Linked DNA regions of Coturnix japonica. The protein of the gene in region 1 binds, or shares a complex with, the protein of each later gene. Links are inferred from orthologs where the notes say so. Each region holds a gene or a part of one and is shown on either strand. Other genes may lie near its edges.

Region 1 (4,152 bases):
TTGCCATGGCCTCATATGACCTGAACCACGCCACATTTAAGACTCTTTCCCCCATGAATTTTTCCAACCCTTTGCTTGTGAAGTCTCTTCCCTATCTTGGATTTAACCTCAGTGAACCCTATGAAGCAGTACATCTGTCAGAGAAAGTACCCCATATCTGTGGCTCTGTAGTTGCCCACTGCACCTTACAGCAGAGATTGTTGGTGTCCCTGCACCCTGTTAAGACAGCCGAGGTGCTTGGATAAGAAGTTATAGCTGAATCTGAAGTGTTGCTACATGATGTGGCAAAGCAGCAAGGCCTATGGAGACCTGAGGCTGGACTGTAGATACTACTCCAACTACATCAGCTTACAGGCTGCAGCACTGTTTTAGAAATTGCTACTTTAGATTTGCATCCAAACCCTAAATCCTACATACCTACAGGTAGGTGGATAAGTGACGACAACTGGGAGTTCTTCCCACCAGCTCTGAAGTGCCAGTTCCAATCCAGAAACAATGTGGATGAGTGACTGCATGGTTTACAGATTGCAATTGAAATATCGTGCTGGCGTGCAGCCCGGGCAATGCAAACACTCAATTCTCCATTTGTGGATCTCAGCTTTGGTCTTTCTGCCACCTTTAAAAGAGAGATAAATACTTTCCTGTTTTACAGAGGCTGTTGTGAGTTAATACACTCAAGATTATGGTACTCTCTGATACAATGGATGTGAGAATCGCATGAATAGTGCCTGCTCTTTTATTTCCACCTGTTGGACTAATTACCAAAAATGCAGAAAGAAAGAAGGAAAGAACAAAATTTTAGTGAAAAGCTGTTAGTGAACTTTTAATTGCTTTATTAAATTACCTAAGCAATCTTTCTCTGGTTTACTTTGTATAGAGAACATATGACTGCCACAGAGAAGGGCGTATGTGAGCATAAAGGAAGCATAAAAAGCACTCTGAGTTGTCCGAGGGCTCTGCAAACAATACACGCTTTAGAGATGCGACTGAGGAGGACGGAGCCTGGGCACTTGCAGGAACCCCGGGGACCCGCACTGGGTGGTGCTGCTGGGAGCCTCCAGAAAGCCATTTATATACGATTATATGAATGCACCCCAGACTGGGCGAACTGCTGGGCGTGCGGCTGCTGCTCCTCCAGAAAGAGGGAGAGGGATTAAAAGAGGCACGAAGCGCCGTTAAAAATAGCGCGCGGGAGGCTCGGAGGTGCGGCACGCCGCCCGGGGGCCCGGCCCGGCCCGGAGCTCCACGCTCCATGTAAGGAGCGCGGCCGCACAGCGCCCGCCGCCCGCCCCCGCTGCCGGGAGGAAGGCAGCAGCCGGGAGAAAGCCGCCCGCCGCCAACTCTCCCTTCCCTCCTCTCCCTTCAGGAGCCCCCACCCCGCCTCCCTCTCCACCTCCTCTTCCTCCTCCCCTCCTCCCCCGTTGCTACCGCTGCTCCGCAATCGGGGGATAAATCAGGGAAGCGGACACACGCATGGAGTGAGCGGGGATCCGTTACAAAAGTAGCGCTGATGGCGGCGGATCGGATGAAGCTGGAGCTGCTGCCGGAGTAACAGAGAGTGGAGTGCCTCTCTCTCTCGCTTCTCTCTTTCCCCCTCTCCACCCACCGATCTCCATCGTTTCTCCTCCTCCTCCCCACCCTCGGCCGCACTCCCTGCACATCGCTGGGCTGTGCCAGGGGGCGGGCAGGGGCAGCAGAGGAGCCTTTAAAAACCAGAAGCCCCCCCACACCCAGCGCGCACAATAATTGAATTTATTATTATTATCGTCTCGCCGACTTGGGGGAAAAAAAAAAAACAACAAAAAAACGAGGGATCGATCTTCGATCAGGAAGATGGCTGCTGGCTGGCTGCTGGTCTTTAGCCTGACACTTTTCCAGTCTCTGGTGATGAACCACTCCTCGGAGGGCCCGTTCCCTTCGCCCACCACGTAAGTGCCTCCGAGGCAGCGCCGGGAGCGGGGTGGGAGGCAGCGCCGGGCCGGGGGCATTCCTGGCGATGGGGACAGCGGTACCGAGCGCTGCTAAAAGTAACTCTGCGTGGGAAGCGGCGACAAGGGAAAGCAGCAGGGGTTCGGATGGGCAAAGAGTGGAGTAGGGGGGACCGTCACCCGGTGGCAGTCGGACTTCTGGAGGAGAAGGCTCAGCCTCCGACATCGCTAAATATACACAACCCGGCGGCCGAGCCGCGCCGGGAGGAAAGTTTCGAGTTACGAGGAGCCCGCCCCCTCCTCCCACCGGGGTTATTTCGGTCTGGCAGGAGTTTGGGAGCTCTTAAAATAAATAAATAAATAAATAGAATCAGAACTTGAGGGATTTTAGAAACAAATGAACGACGGGGCGATATTGCCGGCCGTTGGGAAGAAGGACGGCGCTGCCCAGAGCTCCGCTCACTCACAACTGGCCGCATGCCAGTGCGCACCGGGAGTGTTTTGACAGCTCCGGGGTTTGTTTTATGTATGTGTTTGTTCGTGTGGTTTCGTGTGTGCGCACGCATGTGCACAAGCCCGGCTTTTGTAGCGAGCTTAAAGCCACACAACTAAGACACTGTTTCCTTCCACGAGCCGGAGAGCCGGCCTTGGAAATAGAGCTTCCCAAAAGCACCTTTGCGAGGGGAAGTGGTACTCGGTGCGAACAGAGCTCGTTTTGGCATGCCTGGGAGGCAGGAATCTTTAAAGCACCGTGCACTTATTAGCATGAAACTGCTGCCCAGAGCCGTGTGGGATCACATAATGAAGGCAGGCAATACAAGGGCAAAAATAATCCAATTCATCATCTTTGAGCTTCAGCTACAGATTAAAATAAGCTCTATGAACTAATGACCGTGTTTTCTTCCTTTAATTTATTTTTTTTCCTCCACTCCTTCTTTGCTTTCCTTATTATTATTATGTTGAAGCACTTACCTTAGTGCCTAATCTGGGCTGAAGCTATCAGTAGGGAACTTTTAAGCGAATGACTCACTTTAATGCATTTTACATAAGAAAAACAGTGCTGATGGGAGTCTTCCCCATTGTTTAACGCTGGGTGGAATTTATTACCCTCGTTCACTCCGTGCAGAAAGATGAGTTTACAGCAATTACCAGCAATGCATTTTCACCAATTAGTACTGCTGGTAGGTTGTTATAATTGGATTCGGTTCTGAGTTTCGGTTCTGCTACACAGGAATACGAAGATAAGTGTAAAATAACCACTTCGGGTCTTCTAAACAGAATATATATAGCCTTTCGTCGAAGGGAAAATTATCTTAAAAAAATAATCTTTTGCTATTTATAAAGACATACCGTATAAAAGTAAGATTTAAAGCCGGGGTTTTAAATCAGTGCTTTCCCTGTGCTTGAGCTCCTGTATCTGTTTCTGTATTGCCAAAGTGTTTCATACACAACCAACCATGCCTGATCTTCTGCACAGGTTTACCTAATTTTGAGAGGGAAATACAGAATCTCGTGAAATAAAAAGACTGTAGAAAAAGAAGATTGTGTAATTTCAGATAGAACTCCAGATCACTTCTAAGCATTACATTAGCTGATATCTATTTAAAATTACTTTTCATATCTGCCTGTGTTTGCTATTTCCCTTCAGAATTTACCTTTACTGCCAGTTGTGATAATAGAAATTGTCAACAGGGAAGCATGTTATATTAATGCAGTTCTAATTATAAACTGTACCTATTATTAAGTAATTATGAATATGGTGTCAGCAGCATTTTCGTATTCTATACAAACTACCTACCATTAGCTTTCTTTTTTCCCCATTATTACTCCACTGAAAAATTTATAGAAACAATGTGTAACACCTGTCCATCCTTCATAGTAATGTTTCTCCTTTTGAAACTAAAGTGCAAGTGAGGCTTGATTAATTTAGGAGACAGCACAAAAGGTTTATAGAGGGAGAGCTGCTTTGCAAAAGTAGTGATGTAACAGGTGAAGGAGAAAACATTTTTCTGAATCTCTTTTAAGACTTCACAGTTAGTGGGCATTTATTTCCTGCTACAGATTACAAATGGGGAAGAACAAAGGGAAGTCACACATAGGAATGCCCTTAAAGCGAAGGATTTTATATTAAGAATATTAAAGATATGAAAGAAGAGAAAATTAAAAAAAAAAAAAAAAAAAAGGCAGGAGAAGAGAATGAAGAAAAGAAGATGTATTAATAATT
Region 2 (3,514 bases), about 42 Mb from region 1:
TGCTCACATGCCAATCATGGTACAGACAAGAGGGATGGAAAAAATGAGGCTGACAGACTTCAGGTGGTTGCTTTCTCCAGGGACTTGGACTGGGACTGTGATGCCAGATGGTTGCTTAAGTGGGTTCACATTTCCCCAGCTTAAAAGGATTTGTTGGCAAGGCATCTTGAGCTGCTACTGGCCAGTTCAAAGTAACAAGAAAAAAGTGCACTTTCAAAAATATCTTCCACTATTTCTGCTTAATGGCCCCAGCAGAGTCAAGAATTAAACCCAAGGGCATTACGAAAATACATAATAAACGATGTAATCAAACATCTGTGAAGCTCACGACTGGAATGAAAGTTTAGCTCTGAGTCAGATCACACCTCTGAGTACTCATCTGCAAGTTTGTGAAACATCTTGAAAAGGGAGAAAATCAGCAGCAGTCTAGACAGAAATCAGCCGCATAAAATCTAATAATATCTCCCTGGTTTCTCAGCCGCTGTGTGCCATCGTGGAGTGAATCAGGAGAGGTTCATGCTCAGCAGCAGGGATATATGGCTGGGATATGCTGTGGCATCAGGTGTTTTGTGACCCATGTGCTAAGGTCTGGGAACATGCATGGAAACAGACAAAAGTCACTGAACATCTGTGTCATGACCAGACCACAGCAATTTTCCTAAGCAACAATCCAGAGTCTGTCCCTCACTTACCCAATGCTTTCAGTCCAGAGTTAGGCACATTTATTTTGCAAACGATTCTGCCATTTGCATTTGCTTATCCCACCATCCTGTTACAACTATCAGGATGAACTACCTAACCTCAATCTGCAAGCAGGTGCTTTTCCCCTCCCTGAATTGCTGGTGCCAGCTGAAGACATGGGATGAATCTTCCACATGGGCTTGGGTATCTCGCCACTCTCTCGTGGGAAGAGAGCTTTGGAGAGGCTGAGCAAAAGGAAAGAGAACAAAGCCTGAACAAAATGTCCCGGCCTCAGGAAGAAAGGTACTCTCTACCAACAAAGTCATCGTGCATATTTAAAGGGGTGAGGAGGAAGGGTAATGAACACAAGATATGCAAAATCAGTAACGTTCGACCTGTCAGTGAATTGCAGAATAGTTACTTACACCAGGTACACTTTGTTCATTGTACAAATTAAAAAAGGAAAAAAATAAAACAAAATATAGTACCCCTGTCCCCGACCACACGTAGAAAAGCACTTAAAAGTTCAAAGGTAAAGCTTGGCACATTCCAAATACGAAATGATTCACTTGACATGCAGCAAAATATACAAGAAGTGACTCTTTTTTTTTTTTTTTTTTTCTTTTTCTTTTAAAACAAACTGAATTCGATTTGATAATATTTGCTTGGCACAATTGCAATTCCTTTTAAAAAAATATTTGAAAAATACCGAAACTGACCTGAATTCAAGTATAACGGTTTCTTCAACAGAAACATCATCAATGCAATAAAACATCACACGGAATATATTGAAGCGTAACGCCTTCTGCTTGGTTGTTCCCCCAACCCCAATAATTTCTTTTTTTTTTTTCTATACAGTTTTAATGCCAACACGACTTATGATTGTATTTTAAAATTAATATTATTGCATTGTTTTTGCATATCTTGTGGAACAGAAGATGCAAAGAGTTACTGGTTCCCCACCCGACAGCGGGCGCTGATTTGGCGCTGCATCCCAATGGCCCCATTGGTCCCTGGGACCTGTGGGGCTGTGCCAAGCGTGTTGCCCGCTGCCGTTCTATGATAACACAACAACAAAAAAAGGAAGTTCCGCTCGGTAGCAAATCAAATGACAGAGTCTTGGTGTACATAGTGGTCGGTAAAACTTGCCTACAGTGTTATGCTTCTACCAAATGCCAATGGAGAAAAGAACCTGGCTTAAATAAAACAACATGGTCAAACCAACGTAACATCTGCAAAGGTGAAAATAAACCCAAACAAAAAGGTAGGTGGTTACAGAACCTTGTAAACACTCCCTTCTCCCTCTGAAAAAATATAATAAAAATAAAATAGTCAAAATAAAAACCGCAACATGCTCTCAAGGAAACACCGAACTGCGGGACAAGAAGAAACCCGTGCCCAGCCACTCCCTGCTCTCCCATTGGCTGGCGCGGCTGTCTGTCTGAACTCCAATTGGTTGGCAGGTGACTTGCCCACGCTCAGGTTGGCTGGCGAGCGACCCTCGAGCTCTGATTGGCCAACAGCAGGAGCCGCTGCAGTCCCCATGCTCCCCTTTTGGCGGTGCTGTGTCCTCCGGGCCCAGGCAGCGGGGCCAGGGTGACTGGGGGCGGTGAGGCTCGGACAGAACATGTGCAAAATGATTTTTACAAGCAAAGTTGAAGGATGCCCGCTGGAGGCCGGGCGCGTTTGGCTGGGCCGCCCTTGGGAGGCAGTCATCGTGCCTTGTGCAGGGACTGGAAAAAGAGGGAGCTGACTCTCCTCCTGGGCACCGCGCTCATTCCAGGCGGACGCGTGCCGGGGTCCTATCCGCTCCTGACAAGTTCTCTGCCACCACCCAACTCTGCGACTCATCCCAACAGAAATGAATGAAGAACGCTGTTCCGGTTACTCCAGGTCACGAGAACAGTGAGGCACTTCTGAAACAAACCCATTAGGAACATTGAAACAAATAAAAAACCAGCATCGCTTCCAGCCCTGGCAACTACAGGCTGCTGATATAAATCCTGCTGTCCTTCAGCTCCTCCTGACTTTTTCTACAATCCGGGTTCTGCACCTCTTCCTCTTCCTCGCCTGCACTGTCCTGCCCTGCGTCCCTGCAGTGAACAAAAGGCAACAGGTTGCCATTGGGGCTCTGCTTGCTGTTACCATTGAGAATGTTGTCTGCTGCGTTTTCCATCTCTTCTATCGTCATGTCGCAGGCGTCAGCGAGTTCCTGGGTCGTGACCTCAATGAACTTTGGATCTTGAGCAAACTGCACCAGTCCTTCCGAAATCAATACCTTCAGGAGGCGGCAGAACCAGAGACAAAAGCAGACATTAGCACTATGAGTTCCAGCCCTACTGCACCCATACAGCATCTCCCTGTTGGCCATGTTGGCCCCTCTCCTCCCACTCATGCTGCTGACCCTTGCTCAGAGATGGGTTTGGCTTTGCAGTGCATCCTGCCCTCCCAAGGGTCATGTTCCTACACTGGCCTCTGTACCACCCACGTCCCCATGCCACCGTGGCCTTACCGCTTCGACCAGGCTGCTGGCGCTGCCGTGGAACTGCCTGCTGCTCCCCGCTGTCTGGCTGGGGACGGTGAGGGACACTGGCCTGGCTCTCCTTGGGCTGCCACAGTCTGAGCTGTCGGGGAACCGGGAACTGCAGTGCACGGATGGGAAGCTGCTATTGAGCTTCTCGCTGGACTCAGCCCCCTCAAGGCGCAGCGTTGGGATGGGCTGCTGTGGCCAGCCTCGGCTGCAGGGTGTAGCAGGCGGTGTGGCACACAGCCGGGAGAACGTGGTAGGGGAATGGCTTCGCTGGAGGAGGGGGCTCAGGCCGGCCACTGCCAG
Region 3 (3,514 bases), on another chromosome or scaffold:
GTTTGGGACCCGCAGCACTGCATGCCCTAAGCTCCTTGCTGCCTCCCTGCTTGTACCACCCTTGGTGATGTGGAGACTCAGCTGGGCAGCCTGTGCTGCAGCTGCTTCCCAGTCACTCCCTCTTCATTCCACAGGTTTTCAATATCATACCCAATCCCTGTCTCCCTGGTAGGAGGGATGCAGTGAGCATTGCTTCGCATCCCAATGGATGCATCACCACACAGTCCCCTGCAGCCCATCCAGTGGTGGCTACACTGGTTGGGATCCCAAGCTCAGGGACCTGTAGCCCTTAGCAGAGTGGGGGTCTGCACAGCACAGGGAGACGTGGGCCTCCCAGGCTCCAGCACAGGCACGTGAGCACAGCACTCACTCCAACACGTGCTCGCGGCGCTGGCTCGGCAGCACGGTGACTAACACCCATGCTGAGGATCTCACAAAGCATCTCTATTAGCACTCAGGATCTTCAGCTGCCCGATGAGCAAGCCACTGTGATAACAAAAGCAATCTCCTGCTGCTCGCTGTTAGGGAGGGGGGTGAAGCAGAATTTCAGAGCACATCTCTCACTGCCTGCCAGCACGGCTGTGTGGTCTCATCCTTCCCCAAGAGCTGCTGGGTTGGTTTTGGCCTCTCCATCCCACACATCTCAGCACCGGCTCCAGGTGTTCTCCATGCTAAGCAACTGCCATCTGACTCAGCCCCCTCCCTGCCGTGTGGTAGTATTGGATTTATTATTATTATTATTTTTTTTAAACATCATTGTGAACAAATCCCCAAGCAGTAAAGTCTGTGGGCGTTATTTGAGCAAAATAGCTGGAGGCAGAAAATATTCCACAATTACGCATTCCAAAAAACCCGTACAGGGGAAGAAATACTCTTGCAGTGAGGGTATTTTTAGGCTCAGGAGAAGTGGAATAAATATTTGACGGTAATAGCAGCACATTCTTCCAATTTAAGGCACTTTGCGAACGTTCGCCACGTCCTATCGTGGCTTTGGCGGTGGGTTGTTGGTAGGATGTTGCCTGGATTTGGGGCTTCTTCACCTCTCGTGGCCCTGGAGATCTGCTGGTCTGGGGCAGGACTGGTGTTGCCTGAACCGTTTTTCTGCCCCATAGGTTTTTGGCAATATCAAACTAGATGAGGAAAGCCATATTAACCGGCACAACAACTTCCGCAGCTTCCTGGGCTCCCTCATGCTCCTCTTCAGGTAAGCAGTTACAGGCTGGGGGTTCAGGGCTCTACATCCTTCCCCATTGCATCCTTCCCTGCTGCTGAGAGTGGCTGTGTTGGTGCAGGAGTGCCACTGGTGAGGCATGGCAGGAGATCATGCTCTCCTGCCTGGAGGGCAAGGGCTGCGAGCCAGACACGACAGCAACGTCTGGGCAGAATGAGAACGAGCGCTGCGGCACCGACCTGGCCTACGTCTACTTTGTCTCCTTCATCTTCTTCTGCTCGTTCCTGGTGAGTTCTTCTCCCTGGCCACAGGGTCATCCTGTGTACTCTCATCCTACCTTCCCTGGGAATCTCAATTCCTTCTTTAATTCCATCTTCCCACACCTTCCCTTCCTTTTCTGCTCCCTTTCCCCCACTTCCCTTTCTCTCCGCCTTTCTCACTTTCACTTAGATGCTCAACTTGTTCGTGGCTGTCATCATGGACAATTTTGAGTACCTGACTCGAGATTCCTCCATCCTGGGACCTCACCATCTAGATGAATTTGTCCGGATCTGGGCAGAGTATGACAGAGCAGCGTGGTATGTAACCAGCTCCTACTCTCCAAGCAGACTCTCCAGTCTGGTTTTAAGTAGGTGTCTCTGCTTTCTGCTGTTGGAAACAACCTGGCTGGGATGCCTGGGATGGTCACGGCAGGGCTGCTCTCACTCATGGACATTACAAGGGCAGCAGCTGGTTCCTACAGTGCCTGGTGGCACAGGCACCTTAGGGGATATCCTGAAGATGCTCATGGTTGGCCATGGTGTTTTCCCATGGTTCCTGCTGACACCCTCCTCCTCTGCCATGCCACAGGCAGGTCCCTCTCTGCATCCTTCCTGTTCTCTGCCCAAGTTGGGCTCCAGAGCCTGGTCCCCAGCACCCACAGTTCCCGTCAGGTTGGAGTGGAGGTTGGCTTGTCCTCAGCCTGGGGAGATGCTGGTTGTCTGCTGGGCTTCTGCTAGGTCACCAGGGAGTTGTGTAGGCTGGGGACAGGCTCGCTCTTATGCACCCACCCTACAGGAGATGGATGCATTTTGTTTCCTGCACTTATTGCTTTGCTGATGAGGATCCCAGTAAGCAAGGCTCCTGTTTGTAGGCAGCACCCTGTTCTTGTGGCAAGGGGATGAGCCACACTGGTTGGTCAGGCTTTGGCTTTGGAGCAGCTCTATGCTGCTCCTCCCAGGATGGTGTGGAGCATCTCGATGGCTGTGTGCAGCCCACAGCAGAGCAGAGAACACCATGAAGGTGTCTTGTGTGGCCCCTTCCTACCCCAGCCTAGGAACACCCTTTTTGGAGCCATGGCCCACCACTGTGCCAGGGTGCTTTTAACTCAGGGCCCTTGGCTGGTGCATGTGTTCCTTAGGGAAGCATCACCTTCTCTTCTAATTTGCCTCTTGAGAAACCAGGAGGTTTTATAAGCCTAATATCATCTCCTGGCACAGTTTCCTGCACCATTTTTCCCCAGCCCAGTTCAGTTCAGTGCTGGCCAGGTTCCTCCCATGTGGCCTCCCACCAGTACCCAGTGCTGTTGCATGGGCAGGTGAGTTGGCTTGTGAGCGGGTAGCTGTGCCTTGGGGAAGGGAGCATGGGTGAGTAGATATCCAGAGGAGATACAAGATGAAACACTCTCTGCTTGGTGAGGGGTTTCTTGCCTGTGAATATGGGGTGGGATTTCTTCATGCCAGCCACTCTCTCACCCCCATGCTGGGTCCCAAGGGCAGTTGCTGCAAAAGCCCCTCTCTGATTTCTGAGCAAAGAAAATATCACCCTTTGTGGTGATATGTAGCTGGCAGGTAGGGGCTGTGAGCAGATGGTGCTGTTGTGGCCACTGGGGAGCTCTGGCCCTCACTGTGGGGATGAAGAACAGGTGAGTACATCCCAGTGGGTCCCACCACCTGCGTGGGGCACAGCTCTGCACCCTGACACTGGGAATGCTTCAGGAAGGGTCTCAGGGGTGACCACACATGTCTTACTCCAGGGAGGCTCAGGGACTGTTTTTGCCCACATGGTTGGCTTAGCTCTGGCCAGTGATGGAGAGGGGACAAGGAGAGTTGAAGGAGAAACCTGAGGCAAAGGCACAGGGTAAGGGTTGTAATGCTGCTCTTTGCCTCCCTGTATGGTTTCCCTCCAAGCTTGTCCAAGGATGCCCAGGAGGCTGCAGCACGCTGCACCTCAGCACATCCACCCCGCAGTCCTGCTTCCCAAAGGGCTCTGAGCTGGAGCAGGGTGAAGAGCTCAGCATCCCTGCACGCGGTCCTGCCAGCTCCCCACCTCGACTGCTTCCTTATTTCAGCAGTGATGGAGGGA

Evidence for each region. Proteins that work in one complex are often made in the same cells at the same time.
Region 2: the proteins of CACNA2D1 (region 1) and CACNA1C are in contact, whole or in part, in a cryo-EM structure (PDB 8WEA), measured with the Homo sapiens proteins. The link is inferred for Coturnix japonica from reciprocal best matches to the Homo sapiens genes CACNA2D1 and CACNA1C. Residues at the interface, in NP_001353796.1 of Homo sapiens: Thr170, Asp171, Tyr173, Ile233, Leu235, Gly262, Ser263, Ser265, Lys270, Thr274, Ala327, Lys328, Gly329, Ile330, Glu366, Gln391, His392, Tyr394, Ile416, Gly417; in NP_955630.3 of Homo sapiens: Phe147, Pro148, Glu149, Asp150, Asp151, Ser152, Asn153, Ala154, Asn678, Lys1090, Gly1091, Asn1092, Tyr1093, Ile1094, Tyr1096, Gly1099, Val1101, Pro1104, Ile1106, Arg1109, Tyr1156.
Region 3: the proteins of CACNA2D1 (region 1) and CACNA1E are in contact, whole or in part, in a cryo-EM structure (PDB 8EPM), measured with the Homo sapiens proteins. The link is inferred for Coturnix japonica from reciprocal best matches to the Homo sapiens genes CACNA2D1 and CACNA1E. Residues at the interface, in NP_001353796.1 of Homo sapiens: Thr170, Asp171, Tyr173, Ile233, Leu235, Ser261, Gly262, Ser263, Ser265, Gly266, Leu267, Lys270, Ala327, Lys328, Gly329, Ile330, Thr331, Glu366, Gln391, Asn393, Tyr394, Ile416, Gly417; in NP_001192222.1 of Homo sapiens: Gln110, Leu112, Pro113, Glu114, Asp115, Asp116, Lys117, Pro119, Arg122, Asn630, Phe631, Asn632, Asp633, Gly634, Ile1330, Gly1331, Asn1332, Val1334, His1336, Met1341, Val1343, Arg1346, Arg1393, Ser1394.

What each region holds. Positions count from the first base shown.
Region 1 is NC_029516.1:9,138,498-9,142,649, forward strand, and holds the start of CACNA2D1 (voltage-dependent calcium channel subunit alpha-2/delta-1), read left to right. Parts: upstream 1-1,346; 5' UTR 1,347-1,833; coding exon 1,834-1,928; intron 1,929-4,152. UniProt on the Homo sapiens protein: The alpha-2/delta subunit of voltage-dependent calcium channels regulates calcium current density and activation/inactivation kinetics of the calcium channel. Plays an important role in excitation-contraction coupling.
Region 2 is NC_029516.1:51,092,145-51,095,658, forward strand, and holds part of CACNA1C (voltage-dependent L-type calcium channel subunit alpha-1C), read right to left. Parts: coding exon 3,194-3,514; intron 2,960-3,193; coding exon 2,663-2,959; 3' UTR 1-2,662. UniProt on the Homo sapiens protein: Pore-forming, alpha-1C subunit of the voltage-gated calcium channel that gives rise to L-type calcium currents. Mediates influx of calcium ions into the cytoplasm, and thereby triggers calcium release from the sarcoplasm.
Region 3 is NC_029523.1:5,968,661-5,972,174, forward strand, and holds part of CACNA1E (voltage-dependent R-type calcium channel subunit alpha-1E), read left to right. Parts: intron 1-1,112; coding exon 1,113-1,204; intron 1,205-1,292; coding exon 1,293-1,458; intron 1,459-1,621; coding exon 1,622-1,749; intron 1,750-3,514. UniProt on the Homo sapiens protein: Voltage-sensitive calcium channels (VSCC) mediate the entry of calcium ions into excitable cells.